Linked DNA regions of Coturnix japonica. The protein of the gene in region 1 purifies or fractionates together with the protein of each later gene. This does not show direct contact. Links are inferred from orthologs where the notes say so. Each region holds a gene or a part of one and is shown in the gene's direction. Other genes may lie near its edges.

Region 1 (16,116 bases):
AGAAATACTGGCTTTGCCTCAGTTCTTTCCTATCCGTAGATACTAAAAGGAATGGGGTTTGGCCCATATGGCTTGCATTTCTCATTCTGCACTAGCAGAGACACCTGGACAGTTAACACCTTAAGTTTACTTTGCAGGACTCAGTTGTGAGCAGGACTTCTCAGGAATGAAGGAAAATTTGCCTTCTCCTACCAGAACCATTTCCAGGAGGAAAAGTTCCAGCCTTCCCCCCCACATACAGAAGTGGATAATATGTTAGTTTGGCAGAGAACAGGCATTTTTCCTACCCACTCCTGAGATGAAATACAGCTTTTTCCATGATGTAAATTTTCCTATTTATTTCCCAAAGGAAGAGGAACTCAAAGTAATCACTCTTTCCACCTCCTTGACCCCAAAAGATCTCCCAGTTAACAATGCATTCATTCCCTCCTTGTATTATAATGTGGTTGTAAACACTGATAAAACAGTATTATAGACAAAATATGTGAGGGTAGCAAAGCAGTTGCTAGCCAATATTTGGCATATAATATTATTTCTTACTAAAAATGTATTTTCTAATGGTAACTTTATATATATGTTTAGATGAGAAATATACATACATATATATATATATATAATCTAAATCTTGATTTATTTATTTTTTATGCCTAAATTTGAATAGGCTTACTGCCTGAGCTAGGTAAAAAGATTTTCTAATATACTATTGCAGTACCATGTTAGCTTCCAAACCTATGGCTGCAGAATCATACTTGTATATTAAATGTCTGGCATTTATTTTTATCACTGGTCTTTTAGCTTATCTTGTAAATTGTCCTTGTTGCAGGAGCGATCCCTTTTAGTCTGATTTACAGACTTAACTTTACCATCATCTCACAGAGATCTGGCATTCACACTTTTTTACATTCAGCAGTTCTTACATCAGGAATGTTGAATTATGAACATAAGAGAATTATGGTTATTTTCTAAAGAAAAGCTTTCAGGAACTCTTGGAAGGTGCCCAGAGGAAGGAAATAACTCTTGGAAGGTGATCAGAGGGTTGGAGCACCTCTCCTATGAGGAAAGGTTGAGGGAACTGGGCTTGTTTAGCTAGAAGAGAAGGCTACAGGAAGATCTCATTGTGGCCTTCCAGGGAGAATATAAACAGGAGGGGGTATGGCTGTTTATGAGGGTGGATAGTGATAGGACAAGGGGGAATGTTTTTAAACTAAGGCAGGAGAGGTTTAGGTTAGAGATTAGGAGGAATTTTTTCACTCAGAGGGTGGTGATGCACTGGAACACGTTGTCCAAGGAGGCTGTGGATGCCCCATCCCTGGAGGCATTCAAGGCTGGATGTGGCTCTGGACAGCCTGGTCTGGTGGTTGGTGACCCTGCACATAGCAGGAGAGTTGAAGCTCTGTGATCATTGTGGTCCTTTTCAGCCCAGGCCATTCTGTGATAATTAAGCCTACTTCATTTTGTTCCATTTCTTCCCATTATTTTTGAGTTTCGTGTTTCAACTCTGACAGGATGAGAAATATGTCGGATACGTGATATGAACACAGTTGTAAAAGAAATAGTGCATAAATTCAGAACAGTGGGTATGAATAGATGGCAAAAACAAGGTATGTCAGTATTACAGCTTCTTTTAATGAAATTATTTTAATTGAGAAACGGCGATTGAATGATTTTATTCTTTATTGCAGTTTTATAATGATTTCACAGTATTTTGTGTTTCAAGGTTTTGGATTTGTGTGAGATTAAGAAAAAAAATCTTCATGTAGAGGCAGTTTGAAACCTGTATTCAAGAACACCTGTGGGTTTCCTAGGAGAAACCTGTATAGAAAATACATGAGTAAATCGAGTGTGCTTTTGTGTATACTGAAAGATATCAGTCTGTACTGTATTTAGGTTCCTGCTTGTGGATAAAAGAACTTCTCATTTTAATTTATTCAGAGAAAAGAATCTTTGATAAATCTATCTTTGCAGTAGCGAAGTTTCTTTTTCGTCATTTGGCAAGAAATTTTTATTTTTAGAAGTGAAGGGAAAAAAAAAGGAGCAAATATATGCAGAAATATTGAAGAGCCAAATTTTCCGGGGGAGGCAGATGAAGATCCAAATCAATGGGTTCTTCTCATTCCTTTTTTTGGAACTTTCTTCAGTCATTCCCAGACTGTGCTTTGTGGAGAGTTATTAAGGAGGAAAATTGGGTTTGTTTTCAGTTGGAAGCTCGATCAGAAGTGATATTGGGAATCTGAGAGAAAACAATCTGGTTTTGTTTCAAAAAACTTGACGATTGTTTCTGCAAGTCAGGATATGGGGAGTATATCCACCAGCTGTGCTTCATTTCTCTTGTGTGTGATCTGTGCAGGGTGTGCAAATCCCCTCTGAAAGATCCCACTCAAACCAAGGGATGATCAGTTCTTAAGATATAATCAACCAGAAACAAGGACACTATGCCTTTATTTTACATTTCTCTCCCTTGTATCAGCTTCTCTTTGATCTTCATCAGTCTACTTTACGTCAACTGTTTCAGGAACAAGAAGCCAGGAATCTCTTGACTTGGGATCTGAATTCATGCTGTCAGCATTTGAGTGTGGACTTGCAAAACATGCCAGCAGTTGAGTTTTGAAACAGTGTGAGTGCTCTGTGGAGGCAGTAGCTGGACTCAATGATCCTTGTGGGTCCCTTCCAACTCAGGATATTCTATGATTCTGTTATTTTTCAGCCCTTTGAAAATGCAGCAGTCACCCATTAATAAATAAATAAATCAAGATGGAATCTTCACATGCTAATGAATCATTTGCTCTTGTGGTTAGGTTCCTGTCAGGGTGTAATATATCTGTCTGTGTATTTGTTGGCCTTGAATTCCATACATTCAGGTCAGACTGTTAATGTCTGATTCATATATATAAATCCTGGCAGCACTGGTCCAGTTTAACAACTGTATTAGGAATGGAGAAGAGCCACTAGAGCCTACTTTTCATTGGCTGTTTGAAAAACAGTGAAATAGGCTGCTTTACTTCTCTGCTTCACAAAAAAAGAGCTCTGCATTGTGAGAACTGCAGAATGAATGGAGTCAGCCTCAGAAGGCATGAGTTAGTGGGATAAAAGCTAGGGTAGGAGCAGTCCATGCTACTTCTCTAGACTGCCAACTGCAGTACGGATCTAGTTTGTTCTGCAAAATGGAAAGTTACGTGAGAAAGCAGGTATCTCACACTCTGAAAGATGCCATGGATAAGTCAACCACCTCTAGGATTACAAAGAATTTTGCTTATGTTGACTGAATGATTTCAATCTATACTAAATTCTCTCGAGGACGCTCCAGTTCTACATCTGTCCTCTGTGGTCTGATTGTCCTTACATGTGTGCTCCCTCAGACATGCAGTGAAAAGGGAGATGAAGGAGTTATGAAATATCTTTGAGGAGGGGAAAGTGCAATAAAAGGGTTAACTTCAGTGTTATGGAAAGGTACGTATACAAGACTGGCTTCATTACTTTCCTCATTAATATTATTTTTGTAACTGAAATCTGATTTGAGATATAATTGAACAAAGTGTCTCATTAGACAACAGTGCTGGAATAATACGCTGTGAATTAAGGCAAATGGACTTGATGAGTCAAGCTATGTGTGCTCTGATTCAGAACTGCATGTCTTCAGCTGGTGTTTACATCCTCCCTTAAAAATTTTCATTGTGCTTCCTTATTTCTCCCTTGTTCTAACTTGTTTTAGCACAGCTAACCATTCCCTTTGTATAACATCCTTACTATTTTGCTGTGCTTGGGATGAGGCACCCATGTGCTCACCATGTGCTGCATGACTCCTGCTGCCTCATGCTGTCAGGTGGTGGCAGAGACAGCTCAGCGCCGGCAGGGATTAAGGAGGACTGCAGAAGAAGCCACTTCCCGGCAGCAGGAGCATCTCTAGGGCAATTTTCTTCTGCAGTGAGCATAATTTGCTCCTCACTTCTGAAATCTGGTACTTTGGGGATAGTATCACTCCATGCAGAAGGTGGATGAACAGTCCCATGTTTTTAGTGGGTACACTCCAAGCATTCCAAGCTTTGTAGCACCTCCATTACAGGGATAGGCTGAGAGAGCTGGGGTTCTTCAGCCTGGAGAAGGCTCTGAGGGAACCTTATAGCAGCCTTCTAGTATTGGAATAGTCCTACAGGAAAGCTGGGAAAGGACTTTTTATAAGGGCACGTAGTGACAGCATGAAGGGAAATGGCTTTAAACTGAAAGAGGGTACATTTAGACTAGATATCAGGAAGAAATTCTTTACTGTGAGGGTGGTGAGACACTGGAACAGGTTGCCCCCTCCCTGGAAGCATTCAAGGCCAGGCTGGATAGGGCTGTGAGCAACCTGGTCTAGAAGGAGGTTGGAACTGGATGACCTTACAGGTCCTTTCCAACCCAAACCATTCTTACGATCCCATTTTCTCACTTTCTCTTCCTTTGCTGGAACCGCAGCTGAGATGTGCTGCAGATTTCAAACCTGTCAACACCCGAATGTGTCACATATGAAGGAGCTGAGGGACACTAACAAACACACAGCAGGGCGAGAAGCGCTGCGGAACACATTTGCTGCAGCACAGAAAACTTTCCTACGAACTCTACTCCGAAGTTCAGCACAGCTGTTATCAAGGAGCTATAGCAAACACGGCGGCGGGGATCTGGCCTTCACGAGGTGAAGCTGTAAGGTGCCAGAGCAGCACAGACACCGAGGCACACAGCGCGGCCCAGCCCGGTCTGGCCGGGGCAGCCCGCCCGCATCAGCCGCCCTCCGCGTGACGGGCGGCCCCGAGCCGGCTCGGAGCAGGAAGTGCCGCGTGCCGGTGCCGCCGCTCGCCCTGCCTCCCCCGGGCCGGCCAGTTCCGCCGGGCGCGGCAGCATGGCTGGGCTGGGGCCCGCCGCGCTGCTGCTGCTGCTGCTGGCCGCGCTGCTGCTGCCCGGCCTGCCCGCGGAGCACGTCCCCGCGCTGCTGTGGTCCACGGGCAGGTAGGAGAGCGAGCGGAGGGAGCGTGCCGCTCTGCGTGCGTGAGGCCGTGGGGAAAGTGCTGCTGCGTGACCGCCTGTGGGAGAGAACCGCTGGCTGCCAACTGACCCAGGGAATCAATTTGCCTCCGGGCACGCTACCTAACGGGAGGGTTTGCCCGTTTATAGTTGTGATGTCGGTGTTCTGAACCGGGCGGTAAGACCCACGTTACTCAGATCCGAAGTGGCCGGGCTTTATTCACTACAAGGCACCCCAGCTGCAGCTCTGCTGGTTTAAAGGCGTAGCGAGGGGCAGCCTGGCGGAGGAGCTGGCCAGGAGCTGCGGGCCGGGCTCACTCCTCCGGCTCCTCCACCCTGCTTTTATCCTGTGTTGTTCTCCTTTCCTTCCTTCTTCTTCTTTCTTTTCCTTATTTTTTTTTTCTTTCTTAACTTTAAATGCAGTTCCTAATTTTAATAGGAAGTACTTCTTTGTGCGTAGTTTTCACTTGTTAGGAATAACTCAGCGTTATCTTATTTGCAAACCCTCCAGTGGAGAGCTCCTGCCCTCTGCACAATGCGTGCTATACCCGGTTCAGCAGCAGGCCTGCTCACAGCTGGGTTCTTACTCATTTCTCTAATATGCACAGTCAGAATTTGGCACACCCCAGCCAGGGGTTCAACCCTATGTACCTTCCTCTTTACCCTTCTGTAAAGCAAGAAGGGAATCTGCCAGTTGGTGATAAGCGCCCTTTCAGCTGCTCGGGCCGTGCTCACTCTGCCTTTCAAGAGGCTTTGAGCTGATGAAGATGTTTAAGCGCAGTGATCTATCTAAGCGCCACCAGGCAGATGGGCTGAACGCTGCTGTCATTTATCACATCCTGCATCTCATGTCTTTGGGCAAGATTACTGAAATTAAGGTCTCAGAGCTAAATCCTTGTGTGTTGTCGTGGTTTTGCTGTTTGTTTGTTTGTTCTTAATGCAGTTGTTTGAAGATAGCGAAAGGAGAGGTCTTATGACCATTAGCAGTTACGCTGTTGAAGTTCTTCAGGGAATTCTCCATGTATAGTGCAATACAAACAAGTATGATACTCTTGTTTTTCCATGCTGAGAGATGCTGATAAATTGCATTTGAAGATGCATTTGAAGATGTAGGAGATGCTTGTTGGGTTTGTTTTTTGTGTATCCTTGACATCGTATTCTTTTCTCAGCAGTAATGCATACCATCTTTGATAAATATCTGCCCATTTCTTGAAAGTTTCCAGGGTGTCGTTAAGCATTTCCTCTGGCCCCAGGCAGCCACAGCATACAAGAAGCTGAAAATGTTCCCATTTCAATGAGTTTCATTAGGTAACTGACCCATAAACAGATATTCCAACATTAAGGTCTTTTGTATTCAAAATACTTAATCTGTTCACCTTCATATAACTCAGTAATGCGAGCTACCTCTATACGTAAAAGCAAAGTAGGTGTTGGAGAGAGTTGTTCTTAGGATAAAAGTGATCTTGAGAGTCTGAGAAAAAAACAGTGCTGCCTTTGGCCTAGTTTATATATATAATACACATGTTGTCAATATAAGCAGTATCCCTGGGAGGTCATAAAACAAGCCTAGATGCAATTAGCAACTCGCTCTACTGCAGATTGTTCAGGTCTGTACAAATATAGAGCAAGAAAATCAGGATGGTGGACTGTTTAAACCAGTTTGGTGTTTCCATCAATAGAAGAATAGAAGTGTTCCTCCTTCTCCTCTGTGTTTTTGAAAGGGGAAGTTTTTGTGAGGGAAAAGATGTTTCTTGTGAAATCCTTTGAAGTTGCAGGAAAGGAGATTTATGTTAATTTATAAAATAAAGGAACAGTGACAGAAACTTTTGTTTGCATCTTGGTGTTTTGTGGCAATGTGAGGTTTACGGTGGGTGTTCTGCAGCCCTCTGCAATGTGGGAGCTGCTGGTGAGAGTTTCTGGAGGGGGTGACTGAAGAAGTGCAGTAATTATTGGTGGGTTTCTATTAACTTTGTGAAAAAATCCCTCCGATTTAAAACTTCAATTTCATCCATTGCCAGACAGGAGTTGAGATGCACCCATCTGTTCCATCACCTGGGTTATCTGTCAGGACACCATACTGAATCCTTAAGGGATAATACAGTGTTTGAAGAGCTGCAGTAGGAGAATACGTCGTCTTCAAATCTCTCATGTTACTGTACTGTGATCGTGCTATTCAAGGTTAATATTAGACAAGAGATGCAGAGGTTTATTATATATATTTTTTTGTACCAAACAGCAATCTTCCCCCATTGCATTCGGAAAGATGAAGGGAATAAGACAGTAGGTCATGGTGTCCTGCTTTTCACAAAGAGATACCAAATTATCAGTGGGCATTTTCCAAAATAACTTTGCCCTGGGAAAATTAGCCTTATCTTAAATCAGACTTTAAGCTGAAGCCGTTAATGTTGCTGCTTCCCAGAGCAGGAGGGATGGGGGAGAGGTTCCTCTTACATGTGATTCAGAACGGAAACATGATTTAGCCATTTTGAAACAGTATTCAAAAGAATTTCTTTCTCTCCACAGATAGAGAGAGCCTGAGGAAATAAACTCATTAAAAGTAGTTTCTGTGATTGCCCTCCGTGTGCCTCTGTTTTTTGCTTGTAGCCACTGAGAATTTATTACTACCTTCGTTTGTGCAGCTCTGTGAATCTTTTTTGCTGGTATATCCAGATTACAAGTGATTTTGAGAAAGTGTAAGTGCCAAATGGGACATCTGCCATGTTTCCTCAAGCTGCAAGGAATTTACTGAAAAATCTTGCTGGGAGGAGGTGTAGCTTAGAAAGGAGATGGTGAAAACAGTGTATTATTTTAGCTGTAAGTTTTCTGGACTTCTGTGCCGATGCTCTGAGCCTATGTGTTTGCTTGAGGAGCCCCTTGAGTTGTTCTTTCTTGTAGTCACCAGTTGTCAATGTACTGGTGCTGCTAGGAGTGGTGACACGAGCTTTTTGTGCGGAATATCATTGCCAATGTTTTATTAATAAACTTACTGGCTTCTTCTGTGCAGGGGAAAACGGTATTTCTTATGTGGTAATCTAATGTGGTAATAGTGACTAAAAGAGACCACGTACAAGAATAACTTGTAGGTGGGAGTTCAGATTGCAGCTGAAGAGTAAGTATGTATTGTTGACAACAGGCCCAAGTGAGGAAGCCCTGCTTGTTTACCATCTGTCCTCTCAGAGGTCCAGATAGAAGAATTGTTGAAATCTTTGCAACCCCTTCTGCCTATGAGGAAGACACATCAATGCTGTAGTAGACTGCATGCTTAGGCTTCTTGCCCAAGCAGTTAAGAGCAAGAAGGAAGCAGAGAACTCTTTTCTTTACCACACTGTCTGGCTACAGAGTGAAGCTGAGCATTGAGCTTCTGCATTTCTAGCCCAAGGAGAGCACAAGCACTAGCAGAGGTCCCCATGGCTGAAACACGGCTGTGCTGCAGGATGCAGGGCCTGCTGGGCCTGCAGATGGCTGTGCTGCTCTGAATGTCACATTTTGCGTGAGCCATCAATAAATAGCAGCAATCAATACATGTGCTGGCCTACTGCCTACCTCATCCTCTGCCATCTCTCACTCAGACACTGCTGGAGGTGAAGAGTTCAAAGGAATAGTTGGGTTCATTGCAGGCAGTAATGCACACCCTCAGCGTATCCACCACATGGGCACATATCTCCATTTCATTCTGCACTTAATGGTAAGCAGCCAGCAAAACACATCTGACATTTCCCATCTGACCTGTGGTGAGAGTTCTGTTGCACCATGGTACCGGCTCATTAGGTGAGGCACACTGTGCAGCACCTGGCAGGCTAGTGAAGGGAAACAAAATACGTGTATCAAATGGGAAATAGGAGGATTAGGCAAACACTGTACTGTGGTAGAATTATTAACCAGCTGAGCGAGATTTATTTTTCTAATGATGCCGCTGGAGCTATTGAAGTTTATGTCTGAAAGCTAAAAGATCTCACAAAAGGTGCTTTTGCAGGTTAGATAGCTTGCAAGGGCTGCTCCAAGGAACAAGGAAGCCTTAGAAGAAAAGAACGGTTCAAAAGAGAATCATTAAATTTCGGAGGGTTTTAAGACAAAAGCCTTGTTATTTTTTTTTTTTTTACTTAATTGCAAATCCAGAGGGTTCTCAAAATCTTCAAGTTTTTTTTAATGCTAGACAGGTAAAAGATGTTATCAGTTACCTGATTTGCAAAAATAAACATAACAAGGTATTCACTATCGCTTCCCTTCATACAAACAGTTCTTTAACATTTCCCAATTGAATCTATCTTCTTTTCCTTCAGTATTACTAGTATTTTCGTGTAGCCCTGCACTCCTTAATGTCCCTCTAAAATGTTACTCAGCTGCTGAATTTAGGATCTTTGAGAGTTTTTTCTTCAAATTCTTTATTCTTAAAGTTTGTATGAAAATCTGTGACATCCTGAGGTCAGCCTTCTCGAAAAGTTATCACGTCTATTGCAATTTCTAAGCTCATGGTCTTCAGAAATACAAATTAATGTGGATTGCTGAGCACAAATGAACACAGAAATGAAGGAGCTGAGGAAAACTAAGGAAACGCTGAATGATAATTTCTGCCTAATAGGAAGAAATTTCGTTCTTGCACAGCAGTGTTTACATCTAGAGCTGAAAAACAGATAGGCAAGAGGCATGGTAGGATCCAGTTTGAACATCTGCAGCACCTGGTCTTGGAAAAGTCCACCAGAAATAGCATGGGTTCTAGTACTTGCCCAAATCTGAAGGGAGTTGGATATCCACTGCTGTACAATTACATCTTTCTTATCTCTGCTGTGGATGCAGTTGGAGGCTTTGGATTCCCTTTCTGTAGTAGCTGATGCTATATTCTGTTCTTTGCAAATAGCTCCTTTCAGAGGGACCAAAGTACCAGATTTTCAGGCCATAGCAAATGATATGTGCTTGTGGAAGAGGAGAGCTAAAGCTTCCCGGTCTGAGTTTTGTATCCTGTCTGGACAAATTTTATTCCTGCTGTAATCCAGTTCACAGGATAAGGATGTAAGTGGGCAAATTCTTTTCCTCTTAAGTGGGATAAAAGTAAACTGAACAGTAAACACGATCTTCATCCAAAGGTGATGATATCACAAACTGGTTCTGAGCGTTTGAAGAAAGGAGCTGTGTCATCCCTGGCAGCAAATTCAATGTTTAAAAAAATATTTTCTTCGCAGGCCCCAGTGGAATCCAGACCCTGCTTTGCATGAAGGACACATTGTCTCAGCGCAGGAGCTGGCTGTACTTCTGCAACCTGTTTTTACTCCAAATCCCAGCAACCTTGTTTTGTTCTTTCAAGAGAGGGTATGTAACATTAATTCCATTTCCTTTAGCAGTGCCAAGTTTAAGTCTGTATCTGCATGAGATAATATGGCTCCTTCTCACCAATCTGCTCTCTTTGTTTTTCAGCTTAGCGTAGACGATTTCACGTACTACAGTGAATCCTATGGTAACAAGAATCCATTTCAAAATGTTCAGGCAAGCACTTCTCTCTTTTTACTTCCTTATATGCGTGTTTTTAAATTAAAAATTATGTAAGAAGGGTGCAAACAGACAGTAACTGGCAATATTAAACTAAGCTGCTGCAGTTTGCCTATTTATTTATTTATTTACTGGGATTATTTCAGTTTGAGCATATGGGCTTTTGTGTCTGTTTTATTTCAAAAAGTAGGTTTTCAGAATTATCTTAACTGAAAATAATCTTTCTAGGCATGTTGCAGTTTTGAATAATAAAAAAAAACTTTGTCTAGACATAGACGTAATTCCCAGACTGGCACCCCAAAATAGTGTTTTGAAGCCACACAAAGAAGAGAAGTAAGGAATCAAGTATGTACTCCAGATTTTCAAAACTGAATACTTATTTTATCTTCATGCAAAGTGCAGCTGACTTATCCAGACAGTTAATTTATTCCTAGAATCGTAGAATATACTGAGCTGGAGGGGACCCATAAGGATAGTCAAGTCCAGCTCCTGGCTCCTCACAGAACCGCACATAAACATGTGTGAGGACATTGTCCAAGTGCTTGTTGAACTCTAGAAAGCTCAGTGCCACGACCAGTTCTCTGGGGAGATGCCCTCTTGGTGAAGAACTTTTTGCTGATAGCCAGCTTGAATTTTCCCTTGTTGCAGCTCCATGTCATTCCCTGTTTGAAGAGTGTGACTATATGCCTAGATACTGGATTACTTTAGTATCTGTACTACTTCAGTAATCCAAAATATATTCCAGACACAGACTCTGAGCTGGTCATGAGCTTAAACTTCTGTTCCTGGTGAAAAGGTTTATAGATTTTTTGCTTAGTATCTGTGGTTGAACTTCCTTGACAGTTTATTGAATTGTTATTGGAAAAAGGAAGTGTTCATACCTGAAAGTCATTAAGGTGTTCCTGTGGGCAGTGCAGGAGGAACAGAGCTGATATCAGAGCACATGAAGTGTTAATTCTTAGTCACCACGTAGCAAGCTGTATGTATAGTCAAATATATAAATATTCACATATTACTTGTCTCTACATTTATACTGTCTAGGAACCTCACATCTTCATTGTATCCCTAATACAAACCTTCATCTCTTTGCCATATGACAGCATTTTAACAATTATGCTGGAACTAAAACAACTATTCAGTGTAGGTACGTGGCTTTTTTGAGGCGAGAAAGGGAGTAATATTTATCTGCAGCATAAGGATTAGCGACTCCATCCTCAGGCAGATGTATTGGTACTTTTCTGGAATGCTGTACTTTCTCTCTGGGTTCCAAATCTATGCACAATGGTGTCTGAACTAAATTTTGTTTGCGTTTACGTAACTGTAAAGCTGGTTTGATTTTATTAAGAAGCTGTGTGTACATGACTGCTGCAAGTCCCTAATGATGTATTGGTCTGCATCATGTTTAAGTGAGTCTTTGGTCAGTATCTGGCAGAAGAAAGTTTTGAATTCACATTCTCAGCAAGCTGAACTCATGTCAGTAACAGTTCACTTGCTTTCAGACCTTGACTCTGTTTCTTTTCTGTCTTGGAGTGGATAAACTTTTTCCAATTGCAGCTTCTTTGAAACTGGGAAGTTTCTTTCAACAAATTGGTAACCTTAACTCTAGCATTTCTTAGATTTGTTCTGGATTGGGCAATCTTAACACCTATCTAGCATAGTTTTCTGAGGATGAATTGCTCATAGAAAAAAGAAAATAGGAAGTGAAAGAAAATAAATGAAGTACTTGTTTTTCATTTACATGCCCATATGGATAATTTTGACTCTGTCTATCTGTGTGCATCATCATATAGCATTTTAGGTGTAGAAGGGATCTTCATAATCATAGAATGGTTTGGGTTGGAAGAAACCTTAAAGATCATCTGGTCATCCAGTTCCATCCTGCGTGCAACAAAGACTACAAAATATGCTCAGTAGCTATTGCATTGATTGTGCTCCAATTGAGTTACTTTGGGAAAGAAATCCCTTCTTAATCATGCCACAAAAGACTCTACAGTAATACTCACAGAGCACTAGACAAAGAAAAGGTCAGATCTGGATTTTCTCACTAGGTAAATTAGAATCTTTCATGTTGCATAATCTGAAAGTTTTATACTTTCACAATCTAAGCTATGGAAGGGATTCTTTAAACTATTATAGATGTTCTGTACCACTCCAGCATATTCCTTTTAAACTTCAGCAATTCAAATTTATTCACAAACTTAATCTGGAGATCTCCTTTAGTGAGTGTATGTGCATGTAGCAGCACGTGTACTACAAAAAGAATGTAATATTTGTAAGAGTTATAGACATGTAAACCACATTTGCAGATATTAGATTTGTTCAGCTACATTAACGGCTGGAATCAGTGGTTTTGTATGCAATGAAAGAATTCCATTTCCACTTAATATAGAAAGGAGTCTTGTAGATAGATCATCTATCTTAAATATTCAATAACTTTTTAATTGAATAATAAAATACAAAGATTAGCATTTCGGGATTTGGTGTGTGTGTTAAGTAGCCACCTATTCTACAAACTGTTTTTCTTTAATATTAGCATTGGCTTTCCCCAGGCAATAACCGAACTCCTTAGAACTGCAGCGTACAGTAGCAAACTCCCATTAGTTGCTAGCTGGGTGGCTGCATGATTATTATTGTAAGTCATTGCCTACTGTGGTTCTGGATCTCCATCATATTCATCATTCAGTAGTCATTTCTCCAGACTGTGGAATACTACTCAGTCACATTCAGCACAGAGGCCCTACTGTAGATTTGTCTTTGTTGCCTCTTTCAGTTTTATGGGTTTGTTCATTTTTGGTGGTTTTTTTTTGTTATAGACAGGGGAACTTGCAGAACCGCACGTGCAACAAGATACAAGTGCATCATAATTCATTCAGTCTCGTGGTGATTTGTTCTGTATCATTCCCTAGTATTTTCCATAAAAACCTGCTAGTATTTTGTTTTGATCACTATCAGATCTGACACTAGGTTTCCTATGTGGAAGATGGCACTCAGTTCTCAGTTCTCACACCTACCTTCAGAAAAAACCTGAACAGTGGGATATGTAAACAAGTCATGGTGCTTCTTGCAGTATTTCACTCATGAGCGGTCCTTCAGGAGATGTTACAGAAGGCAAATTAATCTGAGCAATTTGTAGATCCATTAAAAATTCTCAGTGTAGGAATTTGTGCTATCAGTCATCAGGTCAGTCGGAGGATTTTTTTCCCCTGTTCCCTTGCCAGCTACTATGCGGTTATACCTTTTTGTTTAGACGTTTTGCAGAATGCAGTGCCAGGTGTTTCTCAGTCGTCCTCTTCACTCTCTGTCCTCTTCTGGAGGTTTGGTATTTTGAATGCTCGTGGTACCTGAAATGCCAGAATGCTTAGAGCAACATACTGGCATTTTAAGAACAAGTGTACAGTGGTCAAATGTCAAGATGCATGTGATCAAAATGTCTGTCTGATGCTAATGAGGAGATATCCAGCTGTGTGTGCTCTTCGAATGGAAAATGGTTGAATACAAATGGCTGGAAGCTGAGACAGATGGCACTGCAGGATTGGTTAGAAGCAGAGGCACAGCTCAGACATTACTCAGTAATTATGCATTTTATCTCTTATTCTATAATAAATGAGTAAACTGCTTAATATATATCCTTGGTAGAATTGGCTGTTGCCATTCTGGCTGCTGCTAAGCAGTGGGGGATTAAAATATTAAAAGAAATAATTGACTGTTGGAATGTTGCTCAGGATTTTAGCTATAAATTCATATATGCAAAACAAACTAGAAGTGAATATATCATCCTTTCCTTCTAGGAGGTGCTAAGCACCCTGCTCAAAGACTTGTAAATGAGATCGGTGTTTTCTGATCTATTTTAGTTTCTGTGGTTATTTTTCTATCAGTATGGCAAATCAGTCAATACTACATAGTCCTCCTGTATGAGCATCTATGGAAATGTGGAAATAACTAACCTTTACTTAGGAAGGAAAACGTGCAAGCATTTAGAAAGGAACTGAGGAGGCCAGAAAAGTGGTAGGCAGTCAGAGAACAGACAAAAAGAAAAAAGAGTAGGAGGGGAAAAGTGTTAGCAACACCACAACACATATCACTAAGTGGGAGAAAAAGAGTCTCTAACAACTCGGATATTTGAATGTTGGATGAAGTGACAGACTTGATCTAAGAGTTAAATATAAAAAATGTGAAAGCAAAGTTAACAAGTTGTAAACTGGAACTCAGGAAAAAAATGTTCAAATCTTCGTATGAAATTTTGTGCACATCAGTTTTGATCCTTCTCAACTCTCTGTCATTTATGTTCTTACCCGGAATTTTTCAAGTGTATTTTATCGTTCAGAAAAATCTTTGGGAAGGTGTTTTTCAGCTGTGCAGGCTTCAAATTTATAGAACAAGAATGTTTAGAATTCATTTTACTCAAGAGTTCTCATCAGAAACTCATCAATGAGAATTATAATAGATACCCTGGTGCTTCATTATTTGAGCCGTCTCAGCCTGAGCCTTGTAATCTGTGTTTTGAATAGATAGACAGAAAGAAAGCACTCAATATGAAGTTTGTGTGTGCCTCCATACCAAAAAGAGAATCGTTCAGTTCAATTGGGAGGGACCTTCAAAAGTCCAACTGCCCGACTTCTTCAGGGCCAGTCAGGAGTTAAAGTGAGGGTATTGTCCAGATTTTTAACACTCACAGGGAAGGGGATCATCTGCCACTATAGGAAGTCTGTTCCAGTTTCTAACATGAAATTTTTCATACTGAATCTCAGAATGGTGCATTGAATTTCTCCTGGTGCATCTTTGTTCTGTTCCCATGCATTCTATCATTAGATCCCAGGAGCAGAGCGTGGCAACACCCTCTCCAGTTTCCTTCCTCAGGGAGCTGCAGAGAGCAATGAGGTTGCCTCTTGGCCTCATCCAGTCTAGACAGCTCAGGTGTCCTCAGCCTCTCTTGTCACTGGACATGCCTTCCAGAGGTCATACATAAACAAGTTCCTTGTTTAGCTAAGTCAGTGTTCTGCTCTGCTCTCTTGACTTACGATACAATGGGTTTACATGCTAGTGGGCTTTTAAGAGGTGGTTCTTGAAAAGTAGCCAGCTGTCCTGGACCATAAACCCTCTCAAGCAGAACCCCAGGGCACAATGTGAACTGGCTCCTTGAATGCTTAAGGTTTGCTCTCTTAGAGCTCATGGTGACAACTGTTGTGTAGATCCTAAAATATGCAGATTTGTTTAATTAATAGTTACGAATTAGACATCATCTGTATTGCACGCTAAACCACAACACAAAGGAAGGTAATTTGTTAAGTGAAGTATCACTCCCTACTAACTAGAGCTGAAGTTTCCAACATTGATGGTTTTCACCTACGAAGCCATTTATTTCCTGTCTCATGGCCCTCTGATGCCTCATCTTTTTGCCTCATATTCTCCAGTACACTCTCCACCTTCTTCCTCACCTTGAGAACTTCCGCACCATCTGCCTCTCCTTTTCCATTATACTCATGGAAAAGGCAGTGAGATTTTGAGGTCACAGTGTGTCTTAAGCTTGCTCCAAAACAGTGCAGGAGTATGAGTGATGGAGATGTCAGTTCACTGCACCTTTCCAGGAGCAGCCTGCAGCCAGCATCAGGCTGGTGAGAGCTTACTAAGTGTTTACCACGCTGT
Region 2 (16,890 bases), about 81 Mb from region 1:
GCCTGCACTTACACATGAAAAACAGGCAGTCTCTACTGGGCTTTCTCTGCAAGGAAAGACCAAACCAAATGGATTTTCCCCTGCAGCAACAGAAATTACTGCCAAACTGTCCCCACTGAGACTGCCCATCCGTTTATGTCATCTTCCAGTAGAGAAATGGAGTAGCGCATTGCCCTACTCAGTGCCGCTAGACTGAGATAGATTTTCTTGTTCCGCTCATCATTTTCTAAGGTCTGTTTCTGTCAGTGGAAAGGGCTTGGGAGCATTCTCCAGGCTGTCAGTAAAGGAGGGTGGGGTTTCTGTGAAAAAGAAGTGATGAGCAATCAGAATCAGCCAAATCACTTAAGAGCAGCATTTGGAGGAGTTTAGGGAATTATGAGAGGTTCGTTTCTGAATTTCTTTCAATGCAGTATGTTGAGAGAGAAATAGTATCTGGTGGAAATACCAATTCAGCAAAACATTAAGTGGGTACTTAACGTAAAGTTAAATATAACATTAAAATTAATTGAAGACAAATACAATTCACAAAACTCCCAGGAGTCTTTTCCCTTATTTCTTTGCATGGATTTATTGCTTACCTGACACAAGAAACCACCACACTGAACTAGCCCTACTTTTTCCCTTCCAGGAATGGGACAGAATCTATTTCTTCCCCCCAGAATAAATGCTTTAGGAAAATATATATATATATATCTTCCCCCAGCCTCCTGCTTATGTACAAGATGTAGAAAGGATTACATACAAGGGGTTATACCATGGATTTAACAGATACTCATAATTACATAAGTGTTTTCCCAAATCAGAATTTGGAAGAGAAACTGGAACAAGCAGTAAAGCGCTAATTATAGCCTACTGAAGTCATTGGAGTTGGCCTGGCACTACCATGGCTGAATTTGATCTGACATGAGCACATGTTGAGTGATTTAAAAGCATGTGAGTACGAAGCATCAAAAGGAGAAAATTAGTATACTTTGATATATTCTCATCTCAGAACACTGTGCTCAGGTTCTGAAGTAATAAGTTTGATATAATCTCTCAGATTCATCTATGCCACCCTGTACTCTTTAGAGGCACAGGGGAAAAAAAAACAAAAACATTCCAAAGCAAGAATAATAAATTTTGGATTTGAAAAAATTTAGATCCCAGAAGAGTAGCTTTGCATGCAGATATAAAGTAGAACTGAGATGAATGCTAACCTCATCAACCTCAAGTGAGCCCAAAGGTGGAAAATCTTTGCTTTGCTGAGTGACAGACACCCTTCTAGCTCAGTAGCACTCACTTAAAAGTAAAGCAAAAACAAATCCACAAGATGAAATTATGACACGGGTCACAGCCAGCCAACAGCCCTCTGCTGCCCAAAACTAAACTTGGTGGAACTTGAACCTTATCACAGAATCATAGAATTGTTTGAGTTGGAAGGGACCTTAAAGGCCATCTAGTCCAACCCCCCTGCAATGAACAGGGACACCTACAGCTACATCAGGTTGCTTAGAGCCCCTTCAGCCTGACACTGAATGTCTCCATGGATGGGACATCCACTGCCTCTCTGGACAACCTGTGCCAGTGTCTCACCACCCTTATCATAAGAAACTTCTTCCTTACATCCAGTCTAAGTCTCCCCTCCTTAAGCCTGAAACCATTTCCCCATATTCTATCACAACAGGCCCTGCTAAAGAGTCTGTCCCCTTCTTTCTCATAGCCCTGCTTTGAACACCAGACTGTAACTGCATAAAGCTTAATGCACATATACTGCACACTGTAAAAACCAGCTACCATAGTGGAGCACTACAGACTCCGAAATGGCCCACTCTTTTCTAAGTGCTGTAGTGTTCACAGCCTTGTTTATGGAATGCATTATACAAAGGCTTTTGGCAGAGTTTAAAAAAAGAAAAAAGAAAAAAGAAAAAAAAGCATGATTTAACTAACATACGGACTTCAGCATGATATAGGCAAGATTTGTTCCATTCTTCTGATGTAGTTCCTTTATTTGCCCTATTTACAAAGTTGGGAGAATAACACTCATTCTTCCCTTCTACTTCAGTAGGCTGCTACGTACCATACATGCAGTACACTGAATATGCAAAGCAGTATTCAACTGTGATATCTGGTATCATATTTATATATTATATATAATATATATCATATTCAGTAATTGGAAAATTATGTTCCTTTAAATTCCAACTAGCTTTATTGGAAAATTATTTGCTTTGGAAAAATTGTCTGGCACTTTCAAAAACTGTATTGTGTGATAACTTTGTTTTAGTCCCACCTTTTATTGGTTTGTTAAGCCATTTCATATAGCGTTCATGATGCAAACCATCTTATTTAATGCTTTGATGCTGCCTAACATGTTATTGCGCTGGTCCGCAGAATAAAGCGCTTTTAATACCTCTCTTTCAAAAAACATTTCACTATTACATAAGTTTCCAAAAAATGCTGTCTCAGGACAAGTAATTTATAGATTAACTAATACTGCAACGGCTTCTAAACATCTCCACATTGTTCCAGAGCATTGGCCCAAGACATCACAGCACGAATTTTACAAGCTGTCACGTTTGGGACAAGTGCTGTGATTTATCCACACTACAATGTCTCTCTTCAACAGCCAAGCAGAGTACAGTACAACACAGTGTCACCACAGCATCAGCACACTGGAATGCTGAGTTTATTTGCACAAGAATGTTCTAGGCAGAAGTTTTCCAATGAAAGAGACAGCGTAGTTCTGGGGGTAACCCTTACTGGAACAAAGCTCCTTGTTCATTGTCAAGAGAAAGTGACATTTCTGATTCTGACAGGACTCTTGACTGTAAAAACACGGGCTGAAGCAATTGGCAGAGGCAAGATGAGCTGCTTTGGGGAAATACTGCAATGCTTTCTTACAGCGGCAACTAACTGGACACCAGCGGGACCACCCTGAGATATCAGCAACATTTTTCCGACCAGAGCTGCCAATGAATGTAGCCCTGTATTTCTTACTGGAGGTCAGAGAAAGAATGGGAATAAGTTAAACACCCAGAATTCCTGCACGGTGGCATAGGAGCATATCAGAGGTACTGCACTTGATGTACTTGTAGCTCCCAAACCACCCCTCGGAGCACCCTTACTAATATACTTACTTCAACTAGAAATTTCCTCTTCCTTGAGTAGTCCTTCAATTCCAGCAGGTAATTACAAAACCTCTTTGGCACCAGAACTGTTGTGCTGCAGTGCAAATCCATGTATTCCTTTTGGGCAGACGTTTATGGCATCATAGTCCCAACTCAGGTTTAACAGTGCCGCTGATGCTTCTATATTGTTCCTAGTGAATGTAGCAGCCCTTTGGGCTTCTTTTAGATTCTGAATGGTTTATAGGGAGGTAAATACTTTTACGTTCTCCAAAAGCAGACAGTACAGAGAAAAAAAACAAACCAACACTGAATTCTGCAAATGCACTCTAGACATGGTTACATGATTAATAGACATAAAAGTAGTACATAGGGCCTGTATAGTAGGGTCTTCAGAAGGTATCTGTCCATCAGAAGAACATTTGTTTTCATAGGCTTTACTATGCTTATTTTTTTCTAAGAAATAAGCAAAATTCAGTCTATCAATCTAACATTATTTTTTACACATCTCCAAAATAGTTGTTTGTTTGGTTTTTTTAATCAATTTTCTCCACTATTCCAGATTATTCAGATTATTAACCAGATTGTGAGAACTGTTCCACCAGTTCTAGTAACAGAATTGTTCACCTCAAGGCTGTTTCTTTCTGTGTGATCTCTAGCTTGTGTTAGGACATGATAAGGAAGACATTTCAGAGGCTTATCTTTATATCTCATTTAAAGCCACTTCATTCAAACCAGTTGAGATTATCCATCTCATCCCAAATCCACAATGGCTAGGAGTGCTTCTTCACAGAGCTGGTCAAGCACAGCCCTCCTATTTTTAAGACTTCTTCCTTGTCTACATCTGAGAGCCTCTTTAACCTGTTTGTTTCTTTCATCTTCTCATAAGCTTTTTCTGTTCCCAGAGGTAGGAAATCTCCCTTGACTTGGGCTCCAGAGCAATGGAGACAGAGCAAATAAGGGCAGGGAATGCAGAATTCTTCTGACAATAGCAGCGGCTGGATTGAAATGAGTGTATAATCATGGCCTCTGAGCTTAGATGTAAGGCAGAGACACAGTGCAGCTTGAGCTCACTGAATGCTATCAGCTCACTGATATGGGAGGACTTCTGTTGCCCCGTACCCACCTATGCATCCTTGCCTCTTCCCCTGCCCTAGCTCTGATGCTTATCTCACTTCTCAACAAGTCAGTTCAGCTTTCTGAAGTTCAAGAAAACAAGCTCTGCAAAAATGAATAGTTTCCTGCAGAGCTAAGAGATGGGTTAAAGTAACAACACAGTGACTGCCATCCATGTCAGTGATGCTTTTAGCCACTGTTTACCAGAAAGGCTTGGGAGTGGGGCAGAACTGGGCCCTACAGAAGGGACACCAAACAAAGTGCCCTTGAGAAGCTGTGTTTCGTCTTAACTTTTGGTTTGAGTACAAATCCATACAGAGTGCAGCTGTATTTTCGACCACAAGATGGTGCCAAAAGTGTTCACTATGAAGCGATGCTTACTGAAATCATCCACCAAAGGCTGCTGGCAAATCTGCTTTGCTTAAAAATCCTTTCTGCTAAAATTAAGAAAATATGAATGAAAATTTAATGACCAAATCAAGTATAGTTCACATGCATCATGAACACATCTTAATTTTTCTCCACAGTCTCAGGAAAATCCTGTTGTTTTATCACTTGTGGGCTGAGAAGGCTGCATAGGCCGAAGTACAGGGTTGAGAGGCAAGGCCCTCCTCCATGTCAGCTGCCTCACTGATACCTTATTCTAGCCCTTAACACTGTTCAGGCTGCAAAGGCCACACGATGGGGACTGCCCTCTATGGCATGCTGACCTCCAGTGAGCCCTTAGGCCCTGGCAAAGCAAGAAACAAAGTAGGGGAGAGAACTGACATGAAAACATGGAAGAGTATAGCTGTCATTATATGAAGCATGTAGGATCTAGCAAGAAGAACACTAAAGTAGGCTTCTTGTGCATACTTTGTGACTCAGTCCCACATGTGAGAAAGCTGGCAATCACTTTTAAAGCAAGAAAGCCAGCTATCAACTGACAGAGAGAAAGGCACTTTCACAAACAGGTCTGGAAAACACCTCCACTTTTCAGAGATGGCAGCATTTGCACTTTTCATATTATTTCAGTCTTCAAGAAATCAGCTCTGATGCCGCCTAAGCCTCAGCTCATTAACAAATGGTGTTTTGTTTTGTTTTTCCCCTTAGCCCTTTTGAAATTGAGATGCCTCTGATTAATTCAGTCTTAGTGACCACTGTGGCAGGAACACAGCTTCTTCTCACATAGATAGAATCTGCAAACAAGGACAGGAGAGCTGAAACCACAAAGCAAATCAGTGGCAGAGGCTAACAACTCTTCACTTGAGACTCATTGCTTGCAAGCAGTGTAAATGGACAGCCAAGATAGGCGCATGTGCTTCTAATCAATCACCTCACCTCCTGGCCTCTCAGCATGTCAGCAGTCCCAAAACTGCCTGTCAGGCTCTTGGACTTGCTCCATTCCCACAACACACAGGCTAAGGGATGTCCAACCATACTGTGTTAAGCACATGCTCTGTTAGCATGCCAAGATGAGAAAGTGCCACAGAAGACAATGTTTTATGTTCTCAATTTTGTTTTAAAAGCTTATTCTTTGTGTTTGTATATAAATTTTTTGAGATGGTATAATGCCTGGTACCACAGGGAATGATTCTCGACTTGGTAGCTCTAAATCATAGAATGGCCTGGGTTGAAAAGGACCACAATGCTCATCTAGTTTCAACCCCCCTGCTATGTGCAAGGTTGCCAACAACCAGACCAGGCTGCCCAGAGCCACATCCAGCCTGGCCTTGAATGCCTTCATGGAATGGTTACCCAGTGCCAGGAATTCATTCTCTCCAGCAGAATAGGACTGGCCGTGATAGAATGAACCCAAATGATGAGGCAACAATCCAGTCCAGCCAAATGGCTGGCTCTTTGACTTAGCCCTTTTCTCATACTCCCTCTTCTACCATCTCCAATGCTGTTAGTATAGACAGAGCTGGAGGCAAAGGCAGCATCTAAACATCACATGAGCAATTGCCGCTGCAGACGTTTCTGCACAGCACAGTGCTAACACAGGCAGTCAATTCTGGTGCTTTGCCTACAGCTGGCACTTTGATTTTGTGACTGCTACTACCAGTATATGGCTTAATAAATATAATCTCCGACCTCATGTGCACGTTGTCTCATCTCATTACATTATTTTTCTCCACTTTGCCCTGAGCAGAAGCTCAAAAAGAAATCAGTTTAACAGGATAATGTCACTGCGTGTGGATCTGGTCACAACTACTGCTCACAGGGCTACAACACCCGCTCTTTGCCAAGCACAGCTGGGATCTAAATGAAGCCTGGAGCAAACAGTGAGAGCTCTGGCAGCCTGTAAAGCAGTGGTATGAGGTGCACACACCAGCAGGCACCACAGAGCGTTATCTCACAGTATCACAGAATAGATCAGGTCGGAAGGATCGTGAATCTCCAACCTACCCCACCACATGCAGGGCCACCAACCTCTTTGCTATTTAATACCACACCAGGCTGCCCAGGGCCCCATCCAACCGGGCCTTGGACACATAAGTTCATTAAAACACCCTTATTCGCCCTGCCTTCTGCTTCTACCCCTCACACTTGTAACCAAAGCTCTCTACTTCTCTGTCCCAACCCACTCCAGCCCAGACGCTTCCCGACTGGTTAGTTCAGCTGTCAATCAAAGCCTCTTCCCACCCACCCCGCTCAGAGCCCGCCCACCCGGTCCGCTCCCCCTCCTAACGCAGTGGGCGGGGAAAGGCTCCGATTGGCCAGCTCAGCTGTCAGTTCATCCCAGTGAGGCTCGGACTCCTTATATGGGCGAGTGAGGGAAATGGCGCAGAGCTGTGCCGCGATCTGATTGGCCGAGCGGAAAAGCCATTCAACCCGAGGCTCCTCCCCCACCGCGGCAGCGCCCAGCTGACCGCTGGGTCCCATGACACGGCTGGGAGGGGCGGCGCTGCAGCGGTGTGGTGGTGCGTTGGGCGCTATGGCTCCCCGCGGCCTGGCTGTGGCTGCGCTGCTGGCTGCGGCCTGTCTCACCGGTGAGCACATGGCGACGGGGCGGGAGGGAGCCGGGCTGAGGCGGTGGGGACGGGGTGGGGGTTGCGGTGAATCTCGGGCCTGAGCTGTGAGGAGTCTGTGGCACTGATGCAGTGGCACAGGCTGCACAGGGAGGTGGTGGGGTCGCCATCCCTGGGGGTGTTACAGAGCCGTGTGGATGTGGCACTGAGGGACGTGGGCATGGTGGGATGGGCTGATGGATGGGGTCTTTTCCAGCCTTTTTCCTTCTGCCCTCCTTTTATCCATGCGCAGTACTTTGGTCTTGTGGTGTTTGTTGTAATATGGCTCAGGTTTACTGTCAACACTATGCAGAGTCACAGCCGGGCTTTAAGGCAACGTCCTCAAGGTCAGATTGGTTATCATTTTCCTTAACATTCATTTAACCTCAGTGTACCACCTTATTTTTTTGCTTGTTGATAGACAGATTTGCACCAGGTATGTTTTCAAATGAATTCATGGAAATGGTTTTAAGTTAAAAGAGGGAAGACTTAGGTTGGATGTTAGGGGGAAGTTCTTCACTAGGAGAGTGGTGAGGCCCTGGAACAGGCTGCCCAGGGAGGTTGTGGATGCCCCGTCCTTGGAGGTGTTCAAGACCAGGTTGGACGGGGCCCTGGGCAACCTGATCCAGTAAATGTGTATGTTTGGTGGCCCTGCCAGGCAGGGGGGTTGGAACTACATGATCTTTGAGGTCCCTTCCAACCCAGGTCATTCTGTGATCTGTTAAAATAAATGTCTTGTGGCCTTCTGTGTCTGAGAGGGCAACTGGAGCTGTTCTGCAGGAGCTGGATTGCTACTAGTAGCGCTCTGCTTCAGCCAGCACAGGTGGACTTAGCTGGTCCTATCTGCTCTGGGTTCAGTGGCTCAGGCTGTTCTTGTGCCAAGCAGTTCAGGAAGAGATCAGCTGTGCTGCTGTGTAGCTGCGTGTTTTGAGCCTTCCTGACTTTGCTGGGGGCTGGCTTCACTGGGTCTGCATCGTAACACTTAAACCACTGCTGAGTGTATATATATGTACTGTGCTGTTGCTTTAATCCAAATGTGGATTTGTCCATACTTAGTCTTAGCTATATACAAACCTTATCCTGTGCTCCAGAGCACAAAACCAAATGTTACTCATTACTTAACTTTGCCTAGATGGATAGCTATGAGAAGGACAAGAATGAATGAAAATTCCAGCTTGCTTTGCTTCTGCAGGGGTGAGGGAAAGACTGTATGAAACTGACAGCCCTTTTTCCTTGCTTTTAGGTGTGTGCGGGGATGAGTTCAGTATCTTACGGTCACCTCAGTCAGTTGTTTTTCGAGATGGAGGTTGGCCCATCCCCGGCGATCGGATTCCAGATGTAGCTGCATTATTCATGGGCTTCTCTATTGAAGAGGTATGTTTGAGGTCTTGGCTGTAAAAGGACTCTAGAACTACAGAGCTGCTTGGTTAGCATGCTTCCTGTCATGTGTTGGAATATATAAGATATTGTCCTGTTTATTGTGAGGCATGTGTGACTTAGCAGAGTGTGGTTTCCAAGCACAGAGTTGTATTGGTCATATGAGCAGAAAAAAGGGCTGTGCTTGCTGGCTAGTTTGAGTCATCAGCTACAGAAGGAAGCCAGCCTGCAGAGGCTTTAGCTTTGTTCTTCAGTTGCTCTGAGACCCATCTGCATGCAGTTCCCACCCCTGTGCACTCAGCAGACAAACAGTTTCACTTAGGATGCTTAGGAAATAATCCAAAGACTTGAAAACCTAATTTGTTTGCCAGATTAGACTTTGGAGTATAGCTTTAATGACATTTGATTTGTGGCAGGTGAGTAGGTACCCATGGCTTTATTCCACATTGCCCAGTGAATCTTCTCCTGGGCTTCAGAAGAGGTGAGTGGCTACTGAAGTAGCACATGAAAGTTTTTAATGGCAAGGTGTCTTTATCAATGTCTGTGCAACCAGATACTCAAAGCAGCAAGTTGGGATATTCTTGCAGTGCTAGCTGCTTCCTGTTTCTTCCATACTGCAGCTATGTCATGTCTACATGACAGTAGTTAATTTTGCTATAATGCTCAGGAAGCTTGCCTGCCCTTTGCAGTAGTTAATTTTGCTATAATGGTCAGAATGGGTTCCTTTGACTTCCTCTGAAATACAAACGGTGGTTGTGGTGGTTGTTGTGGTTTATTTTTCACTGTTCTCTAATAGGACCTTCCCTGGCCTGGGCTTGCAGCTGGTGATCTGTTTCACAGACCCCGAGCTGCTGTGTTAGTGACTGTGAAAGGGGTGGACAAGCTGACGTTGCCTGCAAAAGGAATCTCTTACCCTATTGAGAATGTGAGTATGCACATGACATGCAGTCATGCAACTTCTGTAACTAGTAAATTCTGAGTACAAGACTTTCTACTGTAGTGCTTGATGTTATCATCATTTTACCTTTTGCTTGAACCCTTCCCCTTGAATGTTGGGTCAGGCTGTAGCCATGAATAACCCAGTCTGACTCTGACCTAGGCTTTCCTTTTTGGGTTCAATAAAACTGGTTGAAGATTGTCAGAACCAGACCATGTAACATAACTAATGTGCAGAACCCTTAAATATAAAGAAACCTTCAGTCGTGCTCACACTTGTAACTTCATGAAAGTTCTGAAGTGTACTGGATCCATATTTTCTGTATGCTTCTAGTCTTTAATTGTTTCAGAAATTACTGCTGTGGCTTCAAATGAGCTGCCCCAAAGTTGCTCTGGCCAACTACTAGATCTCCAGTATTCATAAATAATTTCAAGTGATCATTGCTGAGTAACTATTTTCTGTTTTACCCCAAAATCTAACCAGGCTTTGTGTTTCAGGCTGTTCCCTTCAGTCTGGACAGCGTTGCCAATGCTATTCATAGTTTGTTCTCTGAGGAAACTCCTGTAGTCTTGCAGCTGGCCCCCAGCGAGGAAGTGAGTACTACTTCGGTTCTGACAGCAAGTGCTCTGGGTAGTAAACACTTGTATGACTGGAACAAAACCAGTTACTATGTGAAAATATTTTGCTTTGGGCATTTTGCAAGTATGGTTGATGATTACTGTGTGGTTTGAGAAGGTAAAGAGCTAAGGAGGACTGTAAAATAAAGAGCTAGTGGAGGGCTGTTAGTTTAGGTAGTATACTTAGGTTGTGGTTGGACTCAGTGATCTTTAAGGGCTTTTCCAACCTGAGAACTTCTGTGATTCTAACTTCTGTTCTTATTGTACAATGGCTGTTCCTGCAGAGGGTGTACATGGTGGGCAAGGCAAACTCTGTATTTGAAGATCTTTCTGTCACGCTGCGCCAACTGCGGAACCGCTTGTTCCAGGACAACTCCATTCTCAGCTCCCTTCCTCTCAACTCTCTCAGCAGGAACAATGAGGTAAAAAAGCCATATTGAGTACTTCCAGAGTCTGTTTTCATTTTCCTAATATGCTTTTCCATTTTATTTTTTTCCCTTTGCTGAGGAGAGCGTCCCTTTTTTTTCCAAATTGACTTCTAAGAACTAAGGTTTAAGTTCTTGTGCGAGTAGCTTTATTAAAAGAATAATTTCCATCTAGCAAGTTTTGATGCTGCAACAGTTACAGTCTGCTCTAAAATATGTAGAGTTAAAGCATAATGAGGCTTCTCAAACTCTGGTGCCATCAAAGCAATTACCCATCTTTGTCTTTGTCCCCAGGTTGACTTACTTTTTCTCTCAGAACTGCAAGTTCTACGTGATATCGTAACCCTGGTAAGGCCTGGTTTTTTTAATAAACACTTTAATTCTACCTGAGGTCTCAGACTTCCCAGACATTATTTAAAGGTAGCAAATCTATGGCCAGGGTACTTGGCAACTATTGATACACACTCAAGCCTGCTGTTATGGCCCTGCAACGGTTTAAATAATGCATTCTTGAGGTGTTTGTTACTGATGGAAGAAAATGAGAACTTCAGTCATCTGTAGTTTCTTTTGTGTTCTCTTTATGGAGAGCAGAGGGCATATAGAATAGAATATATTCATAAAATTACCCAGGTTGAAAAAGACCTTGAAGATCATCAAGTCTAACCGCAGCCTAACCATAGTACCCTAACTCTAACAACCCTCTGCTGAATCATATCCCTGAGCACCACATCCAAACGGCTCTTAAACACATCCAGGGATAGTGACTCAACCACCTCCGTGGGGAGCCTATTCCAGTACTTGACTACCCGTTCTGTAAAGAAATGTTTCCTAACATCCAACCTAAACTTGCCCTGGCGCAACATGAGGCCATTTCCCCTCATCCTATCACTTGTCACTAGTGAGAAGAGACTTGCCCCACTCTCACTGTAAGCACCTTTCAGGTACTGGAAGAGGGTGATAAGGTCTCCCCTCAGCCTCCTTTTCCCCAGACTAAACAGCTCCAGCTTCCTTAGCCTCTCCTCAAAGGGTTGATTCTCTAAGCCCTTCACAAGTCTCATTGCCCTTCTCTGGATGAAGGGGGAAAGACTGCTCATTTTTCTTAAGAAATTATGAGGTAAACTAATTTGTTTTGGTCCTGCAGATCAGAACTACCATAGTTGAAGTCGATGGGAAGATAGGAACAGATTGCATTGCTTGTTTTTGGAGGCTGTTCCCATCTGCAGTCAAATGTTATGGCTGCAGCTGTGGTCGCTCCCAGCAAACTGATGTTGTGGCAATGTGTTTCTAAAGTAACCTATTTGTGAACTAAATTCTTTCTGCCCTCAATGGTGTTCCAAAGCTGTCCCGACACAAGCACTTGGCCAAAGATCACTCTCCAGACCTGTATTCCCTGGAACTGTCTGGTTTGGATGAAATTGGAAAACATTATGGAGAAGACTCTCAGCAATTCAAAGATGCTTCTCAGATTCTCGTAGACACTTTGCAAAAGGTATATTTCCTATCTAACCAACACTGTGTTTGCTGTTTTGGATAAAGGAGTAGGAAGCTATTAAAACTTGTATAAACACGAGCCTGTTTTCCCTAAACAAACATCTTTCACTTAAAGTCAGTATGTTTCTCTGAGGCTGGCTTAGTGAAAAGTCCTTTTTCTCCCAGGATGCAGGGTTTAGTTTCACCTTGCCTCAAAGCTGTATAAATCTAAACATTCAGGGCTCTAAGAGAGTAACTCTTTAGCTGGTCTTACATAGCGACTAGCTAAAATTCTTTGTTAAGACCTGAGGCCGGTATGTTTTGAGTGTCAGAAGTGTGTTGTAGAAGTGTAAAAGCATGAATTTACCAAGTCAAATAACTGTTTAATCTAGGAGATGTTGTAAGCCAGTTGAAACTTTGTTGGTCAAACTATAAGACAGTGGTGTATCAGGTTGTTTTGTTTTGTTTTTTAACAACTTCCCCCAGTCTTGGTAATCCTGAAAGTGACATGTTATGTTTTATTTTGCTAACAAAGCCCTCCTCAGTTCCAGTTGAAGTTTTAAATTAAACTTCTTTTGCTCTTCCAGTTTGCAGATGAGATGTATAACTTGTATGGTGGGAACGCAGTGGTAGAAATGGTGGCTGTAAAGGCATTTAATTCTCCCCTCACAAGAAAAGCTCGCTCCATTCTCCAGTCTTCAGAGGTAGTATCTGTACATGGTTCTCTGTCTAGCCTATTGAAAGTGTGAATGTATCCAAACTGCATCGCTTCCTTACTTGAGTAAAGCTTTGTACTTAAGGAATAGAATACTGACTGATGTTGGCGAGTCTTCATTGACTTTCATGAGGCTCCTGTCAGCTCAGTCCTTTGGATTCCATTAATGTCAGTCACAGAATCACTTCAGCATTTTGTGCCCTGGCATCAGAATCACTAGACAGAAATGCATCTCTTTTATTTAGACTGTTTGGATTTTTGATGTAATCAGCACGTGTTTTGTATACAAGGCAGACTTTAAAGTAATGCACTTCTTTTCTTTGTTACAGGGTGAAACAGATAATCCATATAACCTTGCCTATCCTTATAACTACAACTACTCTGTAATCTTCAACATTATTCTGTGGATGATGATAGGCTTTGCTTTAGCTGTGATAGTAATCTCCTACAACCTCTGGAACATGGATCCTGGCTATGACAGCATTATTTATAGGATGACGAATCAGAAGATAAGAATGGATTGAATTAAACTGTATTCCAGCACAAGGAAATGATGAGTAAGATCTCCCTTAAGTTGAGTGAAAACAAATATGTGGTTAATTGTGGAATTTTAAAAGGTGTATTTATTCTAAGTATCTTTTTTTTTCCCCCCCTCTTAAGCCTATTTTAATAGCAAGTAGCACTAGATTGGATTTAGAAATAGACAGCTACTTGTTTAAAAGAAGTTATAATCCCCCAAGCTGTTATTAAAGTACCATCATTCCATTTCTTTTTTTATCATGTTAGGAAACTAAAACTGAAAAAAATCTTAAACGATGATAGCAGTGTTGTTTGAATCTTTTTCACAAGGAAATGATGAGTTGTAGCTAAATATTGTGTTGTATATTATGAACCAGTTGTAAATGTTTGATGTAAATATTTATAACGTCACTTCGGAGAGGATAGTTGTTATTCTTTAGTAATATATTAAATGCAGAAGTATTTCTATGAGGTTAGGAAACCTGTGGCAGAAATGGCTTTTGGATCACACGATGATGGCTTAAATCTGAACCACAGCCAGAATGGCTGGGTTTACCTTGAGTTTTAATGATTTGCAGATAGTGCGGCTGGCCTATACAGTGGAGAGTCTAGAAATATTGAAGTAGCACCAGTCTGGTCGTGGTGTAGCATTGCATACAGCTCAAAGTTCCTGTTAGGATGCTTCGTATTCCTTCCATTTGTGTTGATATTATTGAAAAATAAAAAGTAGACTTTTTGATGATAAGACTGGACCAACACCTGATTTAAATCTACCTGGATTGTAGTCCTGCTTTTGTCGTTCAATAAAACAATAGTTCCTGGGGTGTTCACTGTTTATTGATTCATAGGTACAGCTGCTTCTCTTCAGTGCTGCTGCTTAGCTGAGTAGAGCAGGTGCAGTCAGCAGGCTGTGTCTGACACTGGGCCCGTTTAAGATAGAGTAAGCTTCTTTGAATTTTCCCATTACTGATGGATGGTTCTTATGTCCTCTTATATTAGTTCTTATGTTCCTTAAGGAGATGCTCAAGCTCCATTTCTGAGATCTCTGCATGGACTTCCTGGTCAGTTACAGCATCTTTGCCACAACGTACAGTTGTGCTGGGATGACCTTGTGTACCAAAAGAAATGAGGAGCTCATGTCTGCCACAAGAATAAGTGTATCTCTGAGGTAAAAAGGTATTATATTGTGATTCTGGTAGGCCAAGTACTGTTGTAACACACATTTTGATAGATTAAACAATCTCTGCAGCTACTGTCTGATACCAGGACAAGCAATAGTTTTGCAATCTGCAGCCCTGTTAGTACCTTATTTTAAGCAAGGTGAGTTGTTGGTCGCCTGAAAATCAGCTGTGGTAAAGCCTTTTGGATGGGAATTTGGGTATCTGTCCTCATAGTGTGCCAGCATTCATGAAAAAAGGGAGAAGTCTGAGGTGGTTGAAGCCTGAGTGTTGCTTTTGAGAGTTAAAAAAGAGAAAGTGAGACATAAAATAAAGGGATCTTTAAGGAATCAGCATGCTGTATTTTTTGGATGATCCTCCAGCCTTCTTTGTGGCAACATGGCAACCTTTAGAGTCCTTCCAGCCCCTGTCCTGCTGTTGTGACACACAGGCAGAGGAAGCCCAAACTGGATCTGAAATACGCAAATGTTGCATTAGTAAAATAAAAAAGTACAAGTCAGGAAACCACATTGAAATGCAAATGTTGAGCAACACTTCTGCTGCCTGCTGGGCTTTACGGGACAGTTTGAGTGGAGGCGACAAGGACGCTGCTGGTGTGTAGGGAGAGGAGCTGCTGTCTTGGAAAACATCTCGAACCAAAATAACGGTGCACAGTAACAACAGTCATTTTGTATCCTATTGCTGATGGTATTTTATGGCTGCCCTGAAGTGGATGGTTGGAGCTGAACCTCATGGTTGATCTCTTGGAAAAAATGGAAACGTTTCTTGATAGAGCAAGTGGTGGTGATGGACACTTAAGATTTTTGTGCAGGAAGGGATGGGGGAGCAGCACGCGAATAGCAGGACAGAAGGAGACAGATAAGGCTGGCTGAAGTGGAAGTGGACGCTTCACATCTCGCAGAAGAAATGACACCGAAATAAATCAGGAACTCAGCATTTGTTGCCTGTCCTGTTCTGCCAGTAATGCGGGGTGGTTCCGTGGAGGAAATACGCTTATTTGGAAGGCACTCAAAGCACAGCGCTTCTGCAGCTCACGGCTGAAGGAGAGAGGAGCAATGAATGACAGCCAGCCGGTGTCTGCAGAAGCCGTACCCCTGCAAGAACAGCTACCGGTGCCGCTGCTGCCAAAAGTCCACGCGGGTGACCACACTCCTCTTAAATAAGACCAAGTGATGGTGTTGCACATCCCAATGACCTTTGGCAGATCCAATCCCTCTGTATCAGAGCCTGTCACCATCTGTACCAATTGTGGCAAGCAGCGCTCTGGAAGCACAGCAATTTAGGTAAGTGTCTGTAATAAAGTTATTAGGAATTCTACTCTCAACCAGGTCCATAAGGAATGCCCAGCAGCAGCTATACTCAGAGCTCCTGGGGACAGCTTTTAGAATAGGAATCCCATCTTCAAATAGAGGCTGCGCCAACAGTGCACTTTCAGACTTTTATTCTTACCTCGTTGAAGAAAAATTTCACGGTAAAGGCCTCTGGCGCTCAGATTTCATAATGCTACCGATGTCATCCAACATTGTCAAAAATATACGGCTGACTCCTCGGCATGAATATACATCATAAAATGCCTTAGAATGTTTCATAGGGGAAACGGAATTAATGGGTGCACCGAATGGTTTTTATAAAGGTAGTCAAACCCCGCTTTCATTGTGCTCCAGTGCATGAGTTTACGATGACAAATGTACATGCCTTTAATTTGGGGAGCACATGCTTTACATTAGGCCATGGGATATAAGCAGAACGGCCAAGCCGAATTCACAGTAATTTAACTGATACCATACAGCCAATGCAATGTGTGGACAGCAAAGTGGCTGCTGGAGGACTTCAGCGCTGCCTATCATGATCACCCCCTCTGTCTAACACAGTTCCTGTGGTCAGAGCGCCCAAGGAATTGATACGGTCGATAGCATTACCCATATAATCAATTACAGCGTTTGAGCACAGCAGCGCTAAAAGCGTGCTCTAACTACATCCTACAGCAGGTCATCAATCAAACTCATGACTAATGTGCAGCAGAGGCTTGGAAATAAAAATCCATTTAAGTGATCAGACAGCTTTCAACTCCTAAGAATCTGTTTCTGTCACCAAGTGCTGCAGCAGCAGGGAAAGAAAAAAAAAAGGAAGAAATATATAAAAGATGGAGACTGTTGTCTAAAGGGAGCACTTGTCTAAGTTTTGCAGCTAATCCTGAGAAAAATCATAGGATGTTTCAAACTGATGTAGTGTTACAGCCTAAGCTGCACGAGGCAATGTGCAGCTCTGCCCCATAGAGAGCTGCTGGGAGGTGAGAGCTGGGTGGGTGAGTGTGTCCTTGGGAGCAGGGAGGCTCTACCTGTTGGTTGTGGGGAGTGAAGAGGTCTCTCCTGAGCCTCCTCTTCTCCAGGCTGAACAATCCCAGTTCCCTCAGCTGCTCCCCGTAAGACTTGTGCTGCAGGG

The links.
Region 2: the proteins of ATP6AP1 (region 1) and ATP6AP2 purify together in Homo sapiens (affinity purification with mass spectrometry; 5 studies listed by BioGRID and IntAct, counting the BioPlex papers as one, with this or other methods). This does not show direct contact. The link is inferred for Coturnix japonica from reciprocal best matches to the Homo sapiens genes ATP6AP1 and ATP6AP2.

What each region holds. Positions count from the first base shown.
Region 1 is NC_029516.1:19,957,501-19,973,616, reverse strand, and holds the start of ATP6AP1 (V-type proton ATPase subunit S1), read left to right. Parts: upstream 1-4,767; 5' UTR 4,768-4,870; coding exon 4,871-4,977; intron 4,978-9,877; exon of another isoform or gene 9,878-9,892; coding exon of another isoform or gene 9,893-9,999; intron 10,000-10,169; coding exon 10,170-10,296; intron 10,297-10,401; coding exon 10,402-10,470; intron 10,471-16,116. UniProt on the Homo sapiens protein: Accessory subunit of the proton-transporting vacuolar (V)-ATPase protein pump, which is required for luminal acidification of secretory vesicles.
Region 2 is NC_029516.1:101,198,916-101,215,805, reverse strand, and holds ATP6AP2 (renin receptor), read left to right. Parts: upstream 1-7,061; 5' UTR 7,062-7,083; coding exon 7,084-7,192; intron 7,193-8,453; coding exon 8,454-8,584; intron 8,585-9,383; coding exon 9,384-9,512; intron 9,513-10,021; coding exon 10,022-10,117; intron 10,118-10,425; coding exon 10,426-10,563; intron 10,564-10,860; coding exon 10,861-10,914; intron 10,915-11,905; coding exon 11,906-12,055; intron 12,056-12,623; coding exon 12,624-12,740; intron 12,741-13,080; coding exon 13,081-13,275; 3' UTR 13,276-14,100; downstream 14,101-16,890. UniProt on the Homo sapiens protein: Multifunctional protein which functions as a renin, prorenin cellular receptor and is involved in the assembly of the lysosomal proton-transporting V-type ATPase (V-ATPase) and the acidification of the endo-lysosomal system.